Linked DNA regions of Elephas maximus indicus. The protein of the gene in region 1 interacts with the protein of each later gene in a biochemical or structural test. Links are inferred from orthologs where the notes say so. Each region holds a gene or a part of one and is shown on either strand. Other genes may lie near its edges. The genes, in order: PRMT5 and COPRS.

The links.
Region 2: the proteins of PRMT5 (region 1) and COPRS form a complex in vitro, tested with the Homo sapiens proteins (3 studies listed by BioGRID, with this or other methods). The link is inferred for Elephas maximus indicus from reciprocal best matches to the Homo sapiens genes PRMT5 and COPRS.

The regions. Positions count from the first base shown.
Region 1 is NC_064828.1:34,276,025-34,284,074, reverse strand, and holds the start of PRMT5 (protein arginine N-methyltransferase 5), read left to right. Parts: upstream 1-4,880; 5' UTR 4,881-4,997; coding exon 4,998-5,107; intron 5,108-5,723; coding exon 5,724-5,842; intron 5,843-6,145; coding exon 6,146-6,231; intron 6,232-6,406; coding exon 6,407-6,541; intron 6,542-7,011; coding exon 7,012-7,124; intron 7,125-7,270; coding exon 7,271-7,320; intron 7,321-8,050. UniProt on the Homo sapiens protein: Arginine methyltransferase that can both catalyze the formation of omega-N monomethylarginine (MMA) and symmetrical dimethylarginine (sDMA), with a preference for the formation of MMA.
Region 2 is NC_064837.1:26,513,193-26,520,811, reverse strand, and holds the start of COPRS (coordinator of PRMT5 and differentiation stimulator), read left to right. Parts: upstream 1-4,400; 5' UTR 4,401-4,499; coding exon 4,500-4,598; intron 4,599-6,902; coding exon 6,903-6,972; intron 6,973-7,619. Other genes in the region: UTP6 (U3 small nucleolar RNA-associated protein 6 homolog), read left to right, coding at 490-647. UniProt on the Homo sapiens protein: Histone-binding protein required for histone H4 methyltransferase activity of PRMT5.

The DNA.
Region 1 (8,050 bases):
ACAGGCAATTCCTTACACTACAACACACCTGGAAATCAGAAGAACTGAATTCTCATTCTGTTTCTTCCATTTAATTTAAGCAAAACTTTGGTTAAGATACTTAACCTCTGTTTTCTCACCTACAAAAGAGGTATATTAATAATTCCTACCTCACAAGATTATGTCCTGATAATTAAATGAGATAATATATTTTAAGTGCCTGGAATGTGGTTGAGTCAATGTCCATTCCATGTCTCGGTAAAATTTTGTGATTTTCTTTATATAGGAAAGAGAATATATTCTTTTATATATTCCTTACATTTATATATTCTTTTATATATTCCTTATATTTTTCAGTAAAATTACAGCTAAGTACTTTATGGTGGTGGTATTGTTACCACTGCGAACAGGGAAAATACTAATCACAGTAGCTAATGTACATTGAAGGCTTACTGTGTGTAGGGTAGATTCTGAATGCTTTACTATATTAACTATTTAATCCTCATGACAGTTTTATGATGTAAGAATTATTATTTACGTTCCCATTTTACGAATGAGGAAACTGAGGTCAGAGAGGTTAGGCTCACACTGTTAGTAAATGGATGAGCAGGACTTTGACCTCTTGCCATCTGGCTCCAGGGGCCATGCTTGTAACAATCTTGTTATGGGGGATATCTTTGTTAATTATGTCTTCTAAATGGTTATTCCTAGTAGATAAGAAGAGTACAGATTTATTTTATATTTGTCTTGTATCTAGTGACTTCTCTGAATTTGTTATGAATTTTCATCATTTAAAAATTGATTCTCATGGATTTTCTAGGTATACAATCATATCATCTGCAAACAATGATAAATTTGCCTCTTCCTTTCCAAAAGTTATGACTCCTTTTTTCAAGTCTTACTATATTGGATTTTTCAGAACAATATTAAATAACTCAGTGATGAAACCAGATATTCTTGTTTTATTTCATCTTTATATAAGTTGTTGACTTTATATATCATATATATACACATATTTATATACGAAGAATATTAAGACTATTAAAAACATTTATAGAAAATGAAAATTGACTTACCATGTTCTCTTTGGTAATTATTGAAAAAAATCAAATGTTTTTCTTGGTTTCTTATTGACCTATTATATAAATAAATTCTCTAATACCTAAACTTATGTTAATCCCTGGGATAAACTCTAACTGGTTGTGGTATATAATTATTATGTTCATACATTGTTGAATTTTATTTGTTAATCTTAAATATTTTTGGAATTTTATATTTATATTCATAAGTGAGATTGGTCTGTAGTTTTTTGTTTGCTTTATATTTTGGTGCTACTTCTGACAGGTCTTTGTATTAGGTTTATTCTGGCTTCATAAATAAATTGGGTAGTTTTCTATCTTTTTTTATTTTGCAGAACAGTTTCTACTTTCATTTTGACAGATAAATACTGTATAATAGAGATGACAAGGAAGAGAATGCAAATTGGCATAGATTATTTTGCCTCAGTAACTCTGCCACTTTTGTAGCTAGAGGACAGCCTTCGTTGTGAAGAAGCAATTTGGAGCAAGTAAGAGGGTCAAACGGGCCATCATTTCCGTTTTGAATAGTGCGGCTGGCTGGGCCAGCACAGAGGTGAGTAAGGATGGATCTGGGGAGGGAGGAAAGAGCTAAGAGAGGAGGGGAGCACAAAAGAAGATGAAAGGAGGGTTTACAATGGGTGGGAGGTGTTTAAACAAGGACAAAAACCAGGATCAAGTAGGACTGGGCCTGACAGTGGGACTGCTGGAGGGCCTGGTTGGCTCAAGTCAATTCTGACACATGGCGACTCCATGACCCCATGTGTGCAGAGTAGAACTGCTCCATAGGCTTTTCAAGGCTGTGACCTTTCAGAAGCAGATGGGCAGGACTGCCTTCTGAGGCACCGCTGGATAGGTTCCAACTGCCAATCTTTCTGTTAGCAGTCGAACATTTAACTGCGCTACCAAAGGCCTGGTGGGGAGGATTATCCGGGAATGAGTACTCCTTCCCTTCCAGAAGAGTCTCCACTTTTCAGCTGGTAGCCTGTTGGTCACTTACTCCTATTTGAGAAAGTAACAGTATTTCTCACCCAGGGTATTTTCCTTTCTGTTCTACCATCTCCCTACTTCCATCCCAGCAAAAGCCTACATCCCATAGTTTTATACACACGCTTCTGAATGCAAGAGTTCAGCACGGAGAGCGAAGCAGAGAGTGATAGATGTCACCAACTTCAACTTTTTGCCTATGGCCAAGTCCTGTAGAAGGTTCTCTATTTCTTTTTCAGTCCTTCCCTTTTTGCTCCTCTAAGTTCCTATAGATAGACCCACAGTTACATGCTGCTTTTTTATGGCACAGACCAGAGCTGTAGGATAGTGGAGAGCAATGTGGTATGGAATTATGGGGAACCGCTCAGCATCATGCTTGCCACACAGCTGAGGCCGTCCTGACTGGAAAAACAAAGACAACACAGACAAATGAAATTTCTAACAACAAACTGAACTTGAAGGTCAGTCAGAAAGTCCAGGCTTTTTTTACATGAATCATTTTGAAAATTATTTTAACTGATGGCCAAACTGACATTACTGCTTCATAGATTTTTCCTCACTCTTTCTTACCCAGAGATGGGTTAGTTAACAATCAAAAGAGCAGCCACCAGCTTGACGTCAGGAGTGGGATGCCAGGAGCACAGATGGTCCACAACTCAGATAATTAGCTTCTGAAGGAAAAACAACATCTAATAAGTCTTCTGTGAATGCAGAGTTTGGCTGGGCACAGCTGGGGCACAGAATAAGCAGGCTTCCACACCTCTTTTTCTATCCCTTAGGATGTCTGCAGAACCCTCACCCACTTCCTGTGGACAACAATCTACTGTAGATGTTCCACCCTAAAGGAGGGGAGCATAACTCCTCACTCCTTAAGTACACTGCATAGTAACTTCCTTCCACAGAAAGGAAGAAAAGGAATAGATCTACAGTGGAGAAACCTGATAAACACTGCTTCAGTCAGGTCATCAAGGTCAATATCAACGGTCATAATCATGTTGGTAGTATGTACCCTTGATACGATGTGATAAAAATGGCACTTCTGTGATCTTCCTCCCCAAAACCCATAACCTCAGTCTAATCGTGGGAAAAACATCAGACAAATTCCAATAGAGAGGCATTCTAGGATACAGCTGACCAGTCCTCCTCAAAACTATCAAAGTCACCAAAAACAAGGAAAATCTGAGAAACTGTCACAGCCAAAAGAAGCCTTAAGAGATATGATGACTAAAAGTAATATATCCTGGATGGGATCCTAGAACAAAGGACATTCTGAATAAAGTATGAACTTTAATTAATAATAATATATCAATATTGGTTCATTAATTATAACAAATGTATCATACTAATAGAAGTTAAAAGTGGTGTGTGGTGTTGGGGTGGGGAAGCAGGGCTATATGAGAATTCTGCACTATCTGTTCAATTTTTCTGCAAATCTAAAACTGTTATAAAAAATTGATTAATAATAATAAAACAAACCTGCACGTATCAAATAAAGACTTAGGATGGGACAACAGTATTTCCAAACCCTCAGACCCGGTGGGGCATTTCCTTAGATCTCTGGCTTTTGGGTTTTCCTCTTTTTAAGGCACTTACATTAAATCCAGGGTTCCTCAGAGGAGAAATTATCTTATATACACCCTTTCCATGTTCTCAGGGCTCTGTCACCCACAGGCCATGGTGATCTCATTCACTGTTATGACTTCAGTCACTACCTGTCTTCTGGTGATTTCCAAATCTTGTCCGGTTCACATCACTGTTCATCCAACTCTCTATTACACAGCGCCCTCTAGACGTTCAATTCAGCACGTCCAAACCTTAATTTCCCCTTAAATTTGCACCGCTCATTTCTTGTCTCACTGAGAGGCCAGAGCCCTGGGCATCACCCCAGACTTCCCATTCTCACAGTCCCCTGCCAGTCGGTCCCTCAGTTCTGTCAATGCTTCCTGCTTAGGGCCTCTTGTGCTGTGTTCTCTCTATCCACCTCCCCTCCCTCCACCCCAGAGGTAGGGCCTTCAATACGGTTGGGCCGCCAGCTTTCAGGTGTTCCCTTTCCTATTCCTTTCTTTGCCTGATTCCTTTCCTTCTTCTCTGTCCCTATAGCAGCTGTTGACATTGGAAAGTACATAGTTTCTTTCGATCCTCGCCAGGCAGCTCCATGGCTCCCCTCTACTGTAATCTCGCATCATGAATTCTTTTTCTCTGATCTTCAGGGGTGTGTTTATTTAGCTTTTGTGTTTGAGACAGAATCACAAGGAATTAGTGGCAGAGTGATCATTGTCTATTTAAAAATGTAACATGCAACGAACAGGGACAGATCCCAATTTAAGAGCTCCAACTATATTAATTCAGTTTTCTCAGTGTACAGGTGGACACAAGAACCACCTTTGAAGGCGTAACGGGGAAAAACTGGCGGTAGAACTTAATCAAATTACGACCTGAAATCAGGGTGTGAAAAGATAACGAGAAAACACAGAAACACGAGCCTTACACCAATTACTGCATTAGGGTGTAATAAGGGAACGCCCGTCCCACCGAGCCAGCCAGGAGTCGAACCTGGAATCTTCTGATCCGTAGTCAGACGCGTTATCCATTGCGCCACTGGCCCTGAGACAAGGTGGCCCTTCTCACTGATGACACTTCAAGCTTATACTGCAGGGTTTCACGGGACGTGTAGTCTCTTGACGAAGTCTGCAAAGGCATAAAGCATTATGGGAACTTAAAGCGCGTCACGTACCAGACCCTGCGGTTGGTAGATCTTTGGGAGCCACGCCACACGTCACAGTGAAGCCCGAGGATTGGCGGGAAGAGCCCCCACCCCTCTGTCTCCTGTACGCGAGCTGTAGAAGACGCTCTGGTTGTTAAGGCGACTCGTCCCGCCTTCTGGGGGCTTTTTATAGGGTTTTTGATTGGTTGCTAGTATTAAGGAACCCCGGCGTGGACAACGCGAGGGGAAAGATGGCGGCGATGGCGGTCGGGGGTGCCGGTGGGAGCCGCGTGTCCAGCGGAAGGGACCTGAATTGTGTCCCCGAAATAGCTGATACGTTGGGGGCTGTGGCCAAACAGGGGTGAGGACCCAGACCGAACGGAACCCGGGGTCCGAACTCGCGAACCGAGAGGGGCAGATTAGTCATCCCTGAGAGGCAGGGGTGAGGGGATCGAAAAGGGTAGGATGTAGGCGGGAGAGCTCTCGACTCCAGGAGCGAGGGAAGAGAAACTTTTGGGGTGTGCGGTCACTGAGCCAAAAGTCGGGGGAATTGTTGAATAAACCCAAAAAGAGGCAGTGAAGTCGAGGTTCTTGTCTAGGAGTGAAAGTATTAGGGAGCAAGAAAGGAAAAAAGAAAGGGGAGGCATGGGCAGTATTGGGGCAGATTTAATCCTGGAAGGCCAGTGACAGCAGAGTAGAAAGTATTCTCCTTGGAATGAATTTTCACCTCTTCTTACTCGTCTGGTCCACGGCTGTTTTTGAGTCTTTCTTTTTTTGCGTGGCATACTGGTATTGAGGCACAGTGCAGCGGAATTGATATGCTCCAACGTGGGCTGAACTCAGCAGCCCAGTGGGGTGACTGATGGCAACTGAAAGGGCTCGGTGCAAACTGAGGTAGTCTAAATCCAGTTGGCTTGGACCTCTCTGGGCATTGCTGTTCTCTTTACATGATGACTCTGGGTCTGTCGTGGTTATAGGTTTGATTTCCTCTGCATGCCTGTCTTCCACCCGCGTTTCAAGAGGGAGTTCACTCAGGAACCTGCTAAGAATCGGCCTGGTCCCCAGACACGATCTGACCTACTGCTATCAGGAAGGGGTAGGGACCATCCCGTATACCCCTTAATTATCAGAGGCAGTAACAACTTCTACTTTATCAGGGTCCTCATTCTCTTCCTTTCCTGATTTGGGAGTGTTGATTAGTTCCTGTGATACAGATAATCTTATTTTCTCCGTGCTTACTTGCTAAAAGTCTTAGTTCCCTATTCTGGATCAAACTATTCTATGTCTGTGATAGAAAAAGTCCTTGTCTCTTACTCTGTATCCTGCTAAGAAAGAAATTTAGCAAGAATAAAGTGCTGAACCTTATTCTGTCTTTGTCTTTCTTGGCTGGGACTTGCAGACTGGAATACACTAATTGTCGGAAAGCTTTCTCCATGGATTCATCCAGACTCAAAAGTGGAGAAGATCCGCAGGAACTCAGAGGCGGTAAGGGTGTTTCACCTCTCCACTGGATCTTTCTAAGGATTAGATCTGAAACTGAGCTGGGTGGGGAGAGCAGTTTTTCCTCTCATAACTTGGTGAATCAGGTGTCTGATACAACAGAGTTAAAGCTATTTGGGTTGCTAGCTCTTCACCTTTTCCTCTTGATCTCTGTGTCTAGGCTATGTTACAGGAGCTGAATTTTGGGGCATATCTGGGTCTTCCAGCTTTCCTGCTGCCCCTCAATCAGGAGGATAACACTAACCTGGCCAGAGTTTTGACCAACCACATCCACACTGGCCACCACTCTTCTATGGTACGGCTGAGGGGCTCCTTTCCTACTGTATAATACGGTAGTCTGCTGCTGTAAGTGTCTTTTTATGCCTAGCCATTCAGTGGAAGGTGCACATGGCAGAATTAAAACGTCAGTATTGCCTATCTCCGAAATAAAAGTGGTATGCAGAGAGATATAAGACGTATGCAGTATATAATACTTTATGTCTAGAAACTTAGAGTTGAGATAAAGGAAAGGCAGACATTTCCATAAGGACAAACACAGGATACATGTCCTTTTGTACATGTTGTTAGGTGCTGTCGAGTTGGTTCTGACTCATGGTGACCCTATGTATAGTGACTTTAAGTACAGTGACCTTATGTACATGTACCTAATCACAGATTGGGAAAAGCATATAAAGGTATTTACTTGAGGTCTGGATCAAGATCTTTTGACGGGGGGGAAACTTTCTGGACACAGTGAGTTCTAAATAAGGTACCTGTCATGTACAGTTCTGGATGCGGGTCCCATTGGTGGCACCAGAGGACCTGCGGGATGATATCATCGAGAATGCACCAACCACACACACAGAGGAGTATAGTGGGGAGGAGAAGACATGGATGTGGTATGTCTCCTTTTGGTGCTTCTGTAAGTTAAAGGGTAGAGTGAGGGGAAGTACAGGTGGAACCTTTAGGGAAGTCTCTCCTTTGAACTTGGTGATGGGTAGGTTCTGTGCATTTGACTGTATGTTGCTGTATTTGCCCTGAACAGGTGGCACAACTTTCGGACTTTGTGTGACTACAGCAAGAGGATTGCAGTGGGTAAGTCCATGAGGTTCCTAGGGTAGGTATCCCTTCTCTGACCCTCTATGAATAGGAATCGGGAGTTTAAAGTGTCATGTGTACTTGGCTGCTGGGCAGTTTTCCTACTTTTTTTTTTTGTAAGTTTTATTGTGCTTTAATGCTTTAAGTGATAGTTTACAAATCAAGTCAGACTTACAGAAAAATTTATAAACGCCTTGCTATATACTCCTAATTTCTCTTCCCCTAATGAGACAGCACTCTCCTTCCCTCCACTCTCTTTTCATGTCCATTTGGCCAGCTTCTGACCCCCTCTACCCTCTCATCTCCCCTTTGGACAGGAGATGCCAGCATAGTCTTATGTGTCTACTTGATCCAAGAAGCTCATTTTTCACCAGTATCATTGTCTATCCCGTAGTCTAATCTAATCCCTGTCTGAAAAGTTGGCTTTGGGTATGGTTCCTGTCTTGGGCTAACAGAAGTTCTGGGGACCATGACCTCCAGGGTCATTCTAGTCTAAGTCAGACCATTAAGTCTGGTCTTTTTATGAGAATTTGTGGTCTGCATCCCACTGCTCTCCTGCTCCCTCAGGAGTTCTCTGTTGTGTACCCTGTCAGGATAGTCATCGGTTGTAGCTAGGCACTTTCTAGTTCTTCTGGACTCAGGCTAATGTAGTCTCTGCTTATGTGGCCCTTTAGTTTTGCTACTTTCCCTGTGCCCCAGTCAGCCTTGCTCTTGAGAAAAGGAGTAA
Region 2 (7,619 bases), on another chromosome or scaffold:
TGAACACAAAAACACTGACATGTATAGTTACCAGCCTCATATAAAAAAAAAATTAGTTTGTACATGGTTTCACTGACCTTTTCCTGGTGAAATGAATGAAAGCTGCATTTTTGCTGCCCTCAGCAAGTTTTATTAGCAAGTTTTAAAGTTAGAGTGAATTCATTTGGGTCAGTTTCACCTTGAAAGAGACTTAGTAAAATCTTCCCTCTAAAATATTTAGTTTTTTTGACTTTAAGAAATAACATAGGCTGCCATGATTAAAGTGAAGGTTTTCGACTGTTATTTAAAATTTGTTTTGATATACCTTGGTGTAAAGAATCCGGGTGCGAAAGGTACTGTCTTATATAGGATTCTAGGGAAATAACAGCGAGAAGTTAAATTTCTTGGAAATCTTGAGTTGAATCAATACTAAATAGTTAAATTTACCTGATAAAGCCCTGCCAGTTGTCTGATCGTATGTTGACAGTAATTTTTTTGACTCTTTTCAAGATCTTTGGATGGATTACATCAAAGAGGAATTGAATCACCCTCTTGGTAGACCTGAGAACTGTGGACAGATCTATTGGCGAGCCATGAAGATGTTGCAGGGAGAATCAGCAGAGGCGTTTGTAGCTAAACATACCATGTATCAGGCTGGCCAGCTGTGAAAAGAGGAAGAACACAGCCCACTTTGTGAAAAAGTATTGTAAGCCCTCTGGGCAGACTGTCAGTTTGTAATTTGCTTAGAGATGGCTAATGGGATTTTGAGACATAATTTAATTTTGCGTTGATGTGTTAATCTTTAATTCCAAAAAAGAGAATGAACTGTTTAGTAGCAGAAAGCTACTTGTTGAGGCTGAACCTGCTTCAGGTTCTAAATGTTTTCCAAAATATATGGAAATCATACAAGTGAGTTTAATTTATTATACCCCACTCCCTGGTCAGTTAAAATGGAGGAGGAAGCCCAGTTCCGCATGTTTATTTTCTCTTTGTTATAAAAGTATATATAGTACGCATTTGTTATAGGAAATATGGGAGAAAATAAACACATCCTGTAATGCCGTCATCTGGAATTAAATTTAATAATTTGATTTCCCTTATCAGAATTGGATTGATGCTCATTCATTCATGCAAGGAATATTTGAGCTCCCACCATGTCAGGAGAGAAGGAAGGCCTTTTGGGATGGAGGTATAGGAGTTGAAGGAACAGAGCTGGGTGTCCCAAGAGCTGGTTGAAGCAGTAGAGAAGGAGATGCTGGGTACTGAGGAAAAGTTGTCCTTTAAGGAGGTTATAACATTATAAATTGTCTTCTGTCCCTGGGGCCAATGAGCAGAGAAGTGTTGGCACTGGGGAGGCCCAGGAACAGAGAAGGGCCAGGGGAGGAAGTAGATGAGAGCAGCACAGAAGGGCTTCAGAAGTGTGGTGTGAAAGGGTGGCTGGGAGGAGAAGACATTCTGGGAACAGGGGAGGAAATTATTAGAATTTTATATCCTTTAAGCAGGCCTTTGAACTGGTTCGTTCTTCTTCGAACCCCTGCTGAGAATTTGTACTTTAACCACAGATTTGCTGAATCAGAATCTATACTTTAAATAGTATTATATAATAAATTTTGAGAACCACTGCTGTACCAGTGGGGCGCTGGTGGTGGAGTGGTTAAGAGCCAGGCTACTAACCAAAAGGTCAGCAGTTTGAATCCAGCTGCTCTTTGGAAACCCTATGGGGCAGTTCTCTGTCCTGTATGGTTGCTTTGAGTCAGAATATGAGCTGGAATCATCTCCGCAGCAGCGGGTTTGGTTTTTTGGCCTGGCTTTACCAGTGGTTCTCAGAATTGGTCCCTAACCAGCAGTATTAGCCTCCTCTGGGAACTTGTTAGAGATGCACATTCTCAGCAGGGGTTCCAAGGGAATGAAGCCCTGCCTTTCCCTTCATCTCATGATGTCACTGAGAGAAGCATTCAGTGCAATTTTATGTTCATGTCCAACTTAATATTGTTATTTTTCCGTGTCATTAAATAGCCTTAAAAACATTTAATGGATTACTAACACTCCATTGTATAAATGAGCCATTACTTATTTTACTAATCTCTTGTGGTTGGACCTTGTCATTTCTAATTTTTCTGTCTTAAAACACTGTAGTAAAAGAGTCTTGTAAACCTTTATTTACATTCCTGGTTATTTCCTTAAGGAGATTAATATTTGCCAGTGGAATTACTGGATAAAAGGATATAACTAAAAGAATCTTGGTATGTGTTGTCACCTTGGTTCTTGGAAGCATTGCATTAGAGTGACAACATCTTTACCTGCACTGGCTGTTATGTTTATTTTCACCATTTGAATAGGTAAAAAGTGACATATCGTTGTTTTAATTTGCAGTTTGTTGCTACTAGTGAGGAAACCCTGGTGGCGTAGTGGTTAAGAGTTACGGCTGCTAACCAAAAGGTTGGCAGTTCGAATCCACTAGGCACTCCTTGGAAACCCTATGGGGCAGCTCTGTTCTGTCCTGTAGGGTTGCTATGAGTTGGAATCGACTTGATGGCAATGGGTTGCTATTAGTGAAGTTAATTTTTTTTTTATGTTTCTCCTGTCTTTTCATGTTCTTTGACCACTTTTTGAACTATTCTTTTTTTCTTACTAATATACAAGAAATGATTCTTTATATAAAGAGTATTAATCTTTTGTCCCTGGTTTGTTGCAAATAATTTACCCCCAGCTTTTTTTTTTAATGATGTTTTTTGACATTCAGAGGTATTTTTGGTGATTTGTATTGTTTTTAAAATACTTTGAAAGCCCTTTCCCTTGTTGAGGTCAACCGATTTCCTCTCCCCCAGCAGTTAACTAATTTTTTGTGCACCATTTATGGCCGTTACTCTTCTCTCTACTGATTTTGTGATGCTACCTTTATTATATATTAAATTTTCATGAGTATCAGAGTCTGATTTGGGCATTTTTATTTTGAGCTTTTGTGCTCTAAGTTGTTTGCTTGTCATTTGTCTTAAGAAAAATTTCCTCTTTCCCCCTCTGACTTAAGTCTTGGAAAGTGTAACATTCTACGTGGTGTTTTTATTTTGGGAGAGAGAGACTTTTTGCATGAAAGGGAAGAGAGTAAAGGGGGCTGTGGCTGGCTGGTGTCGGCAAGGCCCTGAAGGTGGGTCATGTCTACGGTTCCCACCATTGCAGGGGATGAAATGCATCTGGCTAGTTCATGGAGCGCTGCACGCTTATAGATAGTAGCCCCTAGCTATGTGTGGTGACTTAAGTTAAAATTTATTTAAAAATTCAGCTTCTCAGTCACACTGGCCACATCTCCAGTGCTTGGTAACCACGTGGCTAGTGGCCACCATGTAGTATAGCACAGGTGACAGGACATCTATTTCCACCATCGAAGAAGGTTTAGTTGGACATTGCTAACCTAGAGCCATCAGACTTGGGGACACTGACCAGGTCAGCAGAACACAGCACATTAATTGGTCACATTCATTTCCCTGTAGGAAAGGCTACAGAGAGAATAGAAACCAACACCGAATAGTAAGTGTCAACCGTTAAACTTTTTCAAATGCCTTATTTACAAACAATACACTCTTCAGGGAGGTAAGGAATAGGCTAATTTAAGTTCCCAAAAGGTGTGGTAAGGTTGCTTGGTGAGCCAAGAGTCCCAACTTCCAGCTTCTCTGATACTTAAATGTTAACATGTGGTCATCACCTTGAGCAGGTGTGTTAGTAGAGCATAGACAGTGTAGGGAGGCAGGTTTTAGAGTACTAGACTAGCCGTATCTACAGCTCAAGCCTGCCTATCATAGAGCGCCTTCTTATGACCTCGAAGGCAAAATGGGAATAACTGTGTTGTAGAGCGCCAGGCTTTCAGCATGTAAAGATAGCTGAGCAACGGGGCGGGGGTCAGACTACCCTCACATCACACGTTTAGAGCAATGACTGTCAATAACCTTGTCCAGCGCATAGCAGGAGTTGGTTGTTTTGATCAAACTGGTTAATTTTAAATACTGTCATTAATTCAGGGTGGAGTCACTGGGCTGCTGAGTTGTTTCATCCATTTGTGGGTGAGTTATATTTCATTTCCAGCCTGAATTCCGTAGGAGCCCTCCTGAAATGAGATGAAAAGTGAAATGTGGTTGGAGCTATACAATTGCACTGAAACTTTTGAGAGCTGGGGTTACTAGTCGGTAGACCCTTGGGTAATTCAATACAGAAATTCGAGCCTTTGAAACTGAAGCATTGCAGACGTAGTCAGTCGTTCAGTCCTAGGGGCTGGACTGGTGGGAGCTACAAAAATCAGCATCCCAGCCTATTTCCCATTCGGGGTCCGGGGTGGGGGCGGGGGAGGAATTTTTCGCTCCGCCTCGCCCCGCCCGCGCCCCGCCCCCGGCCTCCGCGTGACCCGGCCCCGCCCCCTCGGCCGGCCCCCGGCTGATTGGCCGTCCGCGGCGTCTCCTCGGGCTGGCAGCCAGGCCGGGGCGTCACGTGGCCGAGCAGCGTCCAGGGCGCCGAGCCGCGGGCCGCCTGGCATGGACCCTCAGGCCCCCGGGGCCCAGGCGCTGGGGGCGGCCGAGCCGCCTCGGGGCCCGCCGCCATCGAGCGCGCGGGAGGCGCCTCCCAGCCCGGGGGTGAGCGCGGCGCCGGGGCCGCTCCGGCCACCACCTGCGGCGGGTCGGGAAGTGGGGGGCGCGCCGCGCCGGGTCGGGCTGGGGCCGCGAAGCGGGGGAAGCGCCTCTGGCCCGGTGCGGGCCGCCCGCGAATGCCGAGCGCCGTTTGGGCGCGCGCTAGAGCTGGAAACGGCCGGGCCGCGGGGCCGCGGGGCCGTGGGGCTGCGGGGCCGCAGGGCCGCGGGGCTGTGGGGCTGCGGGGCCGCAGGGCCGCGGGGCTGCGGGGCTGCGGGGAAGGACCTGTGAGGGCGTAGGCGGGCGCGTCGGGTGGGGAGGGAAGGCTGCAGGCTCACGGGGACGGCTCTGCGTGCTCGGTCAGTGCGAGGTGATGCTGATGGCCGAGAGCCCCGGAAACCGGCTGCTGTGGGGGGCTTGGGCGGGGGCCAGGTGAGGGCGGCGCCGAGAGGAATGTCCTTAGGGACTCATGTCCATTGGCGGGGATGCGCAGCTAACCCTGAGCACCCGGTGAGGCCACATGCGCTCTCGTCTTTTATACCGGAACCAAAACACCCCATTTGACGCAGTGTTTTCGGAAACTTGTTTTCATTTATACACCAGACAGCTTCTGGTTTTCCAAAGACCTTTATTACAGTTACTACCTGCACAGTTGGCTGTCTGTGATCCCTGCTGGACGCTGAGCTCCTTGAGGCTAGAAGCCTTGGTTGAGTGCACAGTGCCTGCCACGTAGGTAACAGACAGACACTCCAGTATTAATTGAATGAATGAATGGAATACTTATTAAGAATCAAAGAGGGTACTTAACCAAGGTATGATGTGAAAAATACAGTGATAAAATATTTGGGAGCGCCGAATAGGATGAGAGGCATTTACCCTGGCAGAGTAGGAAGGGATGTGCCCTTCCTCTCCAAGGTGAGAGGGTGCTGGTGCCTGCAGAGGTGTTGAGACGAGAACATGCATGGCAAACGGTTTGGAGCTTGGGTCCCAGAGGGGAGAGAGAGAACTATGCTGCACAGGTTGACGGGGCTGGGGCTGAATGCCATAGCTGATTGTGTGGAGGGCTGTAGGTTTTTGATCACAGTAGTGATCACGCTAAGGCTGGGTAAGAAGGGATGGGGGAGGCAGTTAGGAGTCTCTTGCAGTAGTCTAGGTGAGAGACCTCGCAGGTGGCAGCAGTGGCCAAGGATTGTCACCACTGGGAGGGAATTGAATCATTAAATCCAGGCATGACTAGATCATGAATGCTAATACTCTGCATGCTTAGGTCTCGGGCAGGTGTCAAGTTCAGTTTACACATGGGGGGAAAAGAGAAGTGGACTCGAATTCAACAAATGTTACATTCCTGCTACATACTAGGTGTTTCCATAAATGTTAGCATGAGCCTCCTGCTTATGATGAGGTAACATCACCTCCAGTTTCTATAGAATAGAAACCCAGGCAGGATGGTTGAGGTGACATGGCCACCTGACTGGTCACTCTGAACAGCACATCTGGTATTGAAATCAGTCTTCTCTTGCAGGCTGTGAGTGTTTCTTATTCCACCTAGAAAGAAGTCTTGGAGGCCATACGATTTCAGTAACTTTTGAGTGATGGACACAGATGCTTCTGGTTGGCTGAGGGGAGAAGATTTCCAGTTAGGTCAGAAATATTTCCTTCAGTGCTCAGCAATGCAGAGGAACCAGAGCCCTGCTCCCCCGACACATCAGCCAGGAGATAGAAACCACACTACCTATTTGAACAGAGAATTTGAGAGCATCGTTAACTAGATGTAAAGTTGTTATCTAGGTACTAACTGAGAAGGTAAAAGATGAATAAGCAGGTAGCAACTACAGGAAATAGCTACCAGCACTAGGACTGAGGGAACAAAGGGGTGCGGTGGGAAAGATTAAAACGTAAAAGTGAAGCCTTGCAGAGCTGAAATTCCTGTCTCTGAGGGGACTGCCTCAACTAGTGCTCCAAGCTTGGAAGAGGGGCCTCAAGTGCTGGGGTGAGCCATGAGGCCCTTTCTGCAAGTGTTGGGAAAACCATAAACTGGATTCAACTGCTGCTGTAGAAAGGCACTCCTGCTGCTGGGGTGAAGAAGTATTGCTGGGGCGATGTTTACAGGACTAGGAAGGAGCATGTCCCTTCTCCTTCCAGCCTAGCCAAGTCTAACAGGACAAAGCAGAAAAGTAGGTTGCAGAGTTCCAGCCCGAGAATCACAAAGCAGAATTTAGATGTGTGGCTTTGGAGCTGAGGTACAGTAGCTTAATAACGGGCATACCCTAGATACCCAAATCTCCAGGTAACTGCTGCTTCTTCCTACAGATGGGCTTTGCCACATATGACCACTGCTGCCCGATGGAGAGGGAGACTGTGAAGGCCACAGGTCGACTAGGTAAGTAGACACCCAGAGACTGAGATGGATGTTGGCAGAAACCAGGGGATTGACTAGACGGGCATTCCCTATGCTTCTTGTTACCTGCTCTTTCCTGCCAGTCCTTCCCTTTGCTGCTGTCTCTGCTTACTGTTTCAACAGTGTCCTTGATGGGAGCCCAACGGAGCTTCCTTAAGGGAAGCCCTGGACTTTTCTTATACATAAACCCCTTGCTTCCACTAAGAGAAACAGCATGGAACAATGGAAAGAGTATCTTTGGAGCAGGGCAAAACTGTTTTAAATTTTAGCCCTGGGTGAGATAGTCCTGAGCTTGAGCTTCGTGGCCTTAGAAATGAGTCACTTAGCCTTTCTTCATTTTTAAATGGGGGTAAGAATACCTACCTCAGAGGGCTGCTCTGAAGATTGGGTGAAAGGATATAGAACTATGCTGCCCAATACGATAGCCATTAGCAACCAGTGCTATTTTAATTAAATGAAAAATTCAGCTCCTTGGTTGCACTAGCCAAAATTCAGGTACTCAGTAACCACATGTGGCTAGAACTAACCTGTTGGACAGTACAAATTATAGAATATTTCTATCATCACAGAAAGTTTTATTGGACAGTGCTGTGCTAGAGAAAGCACCAAGCACATAACAGTTACAGTCA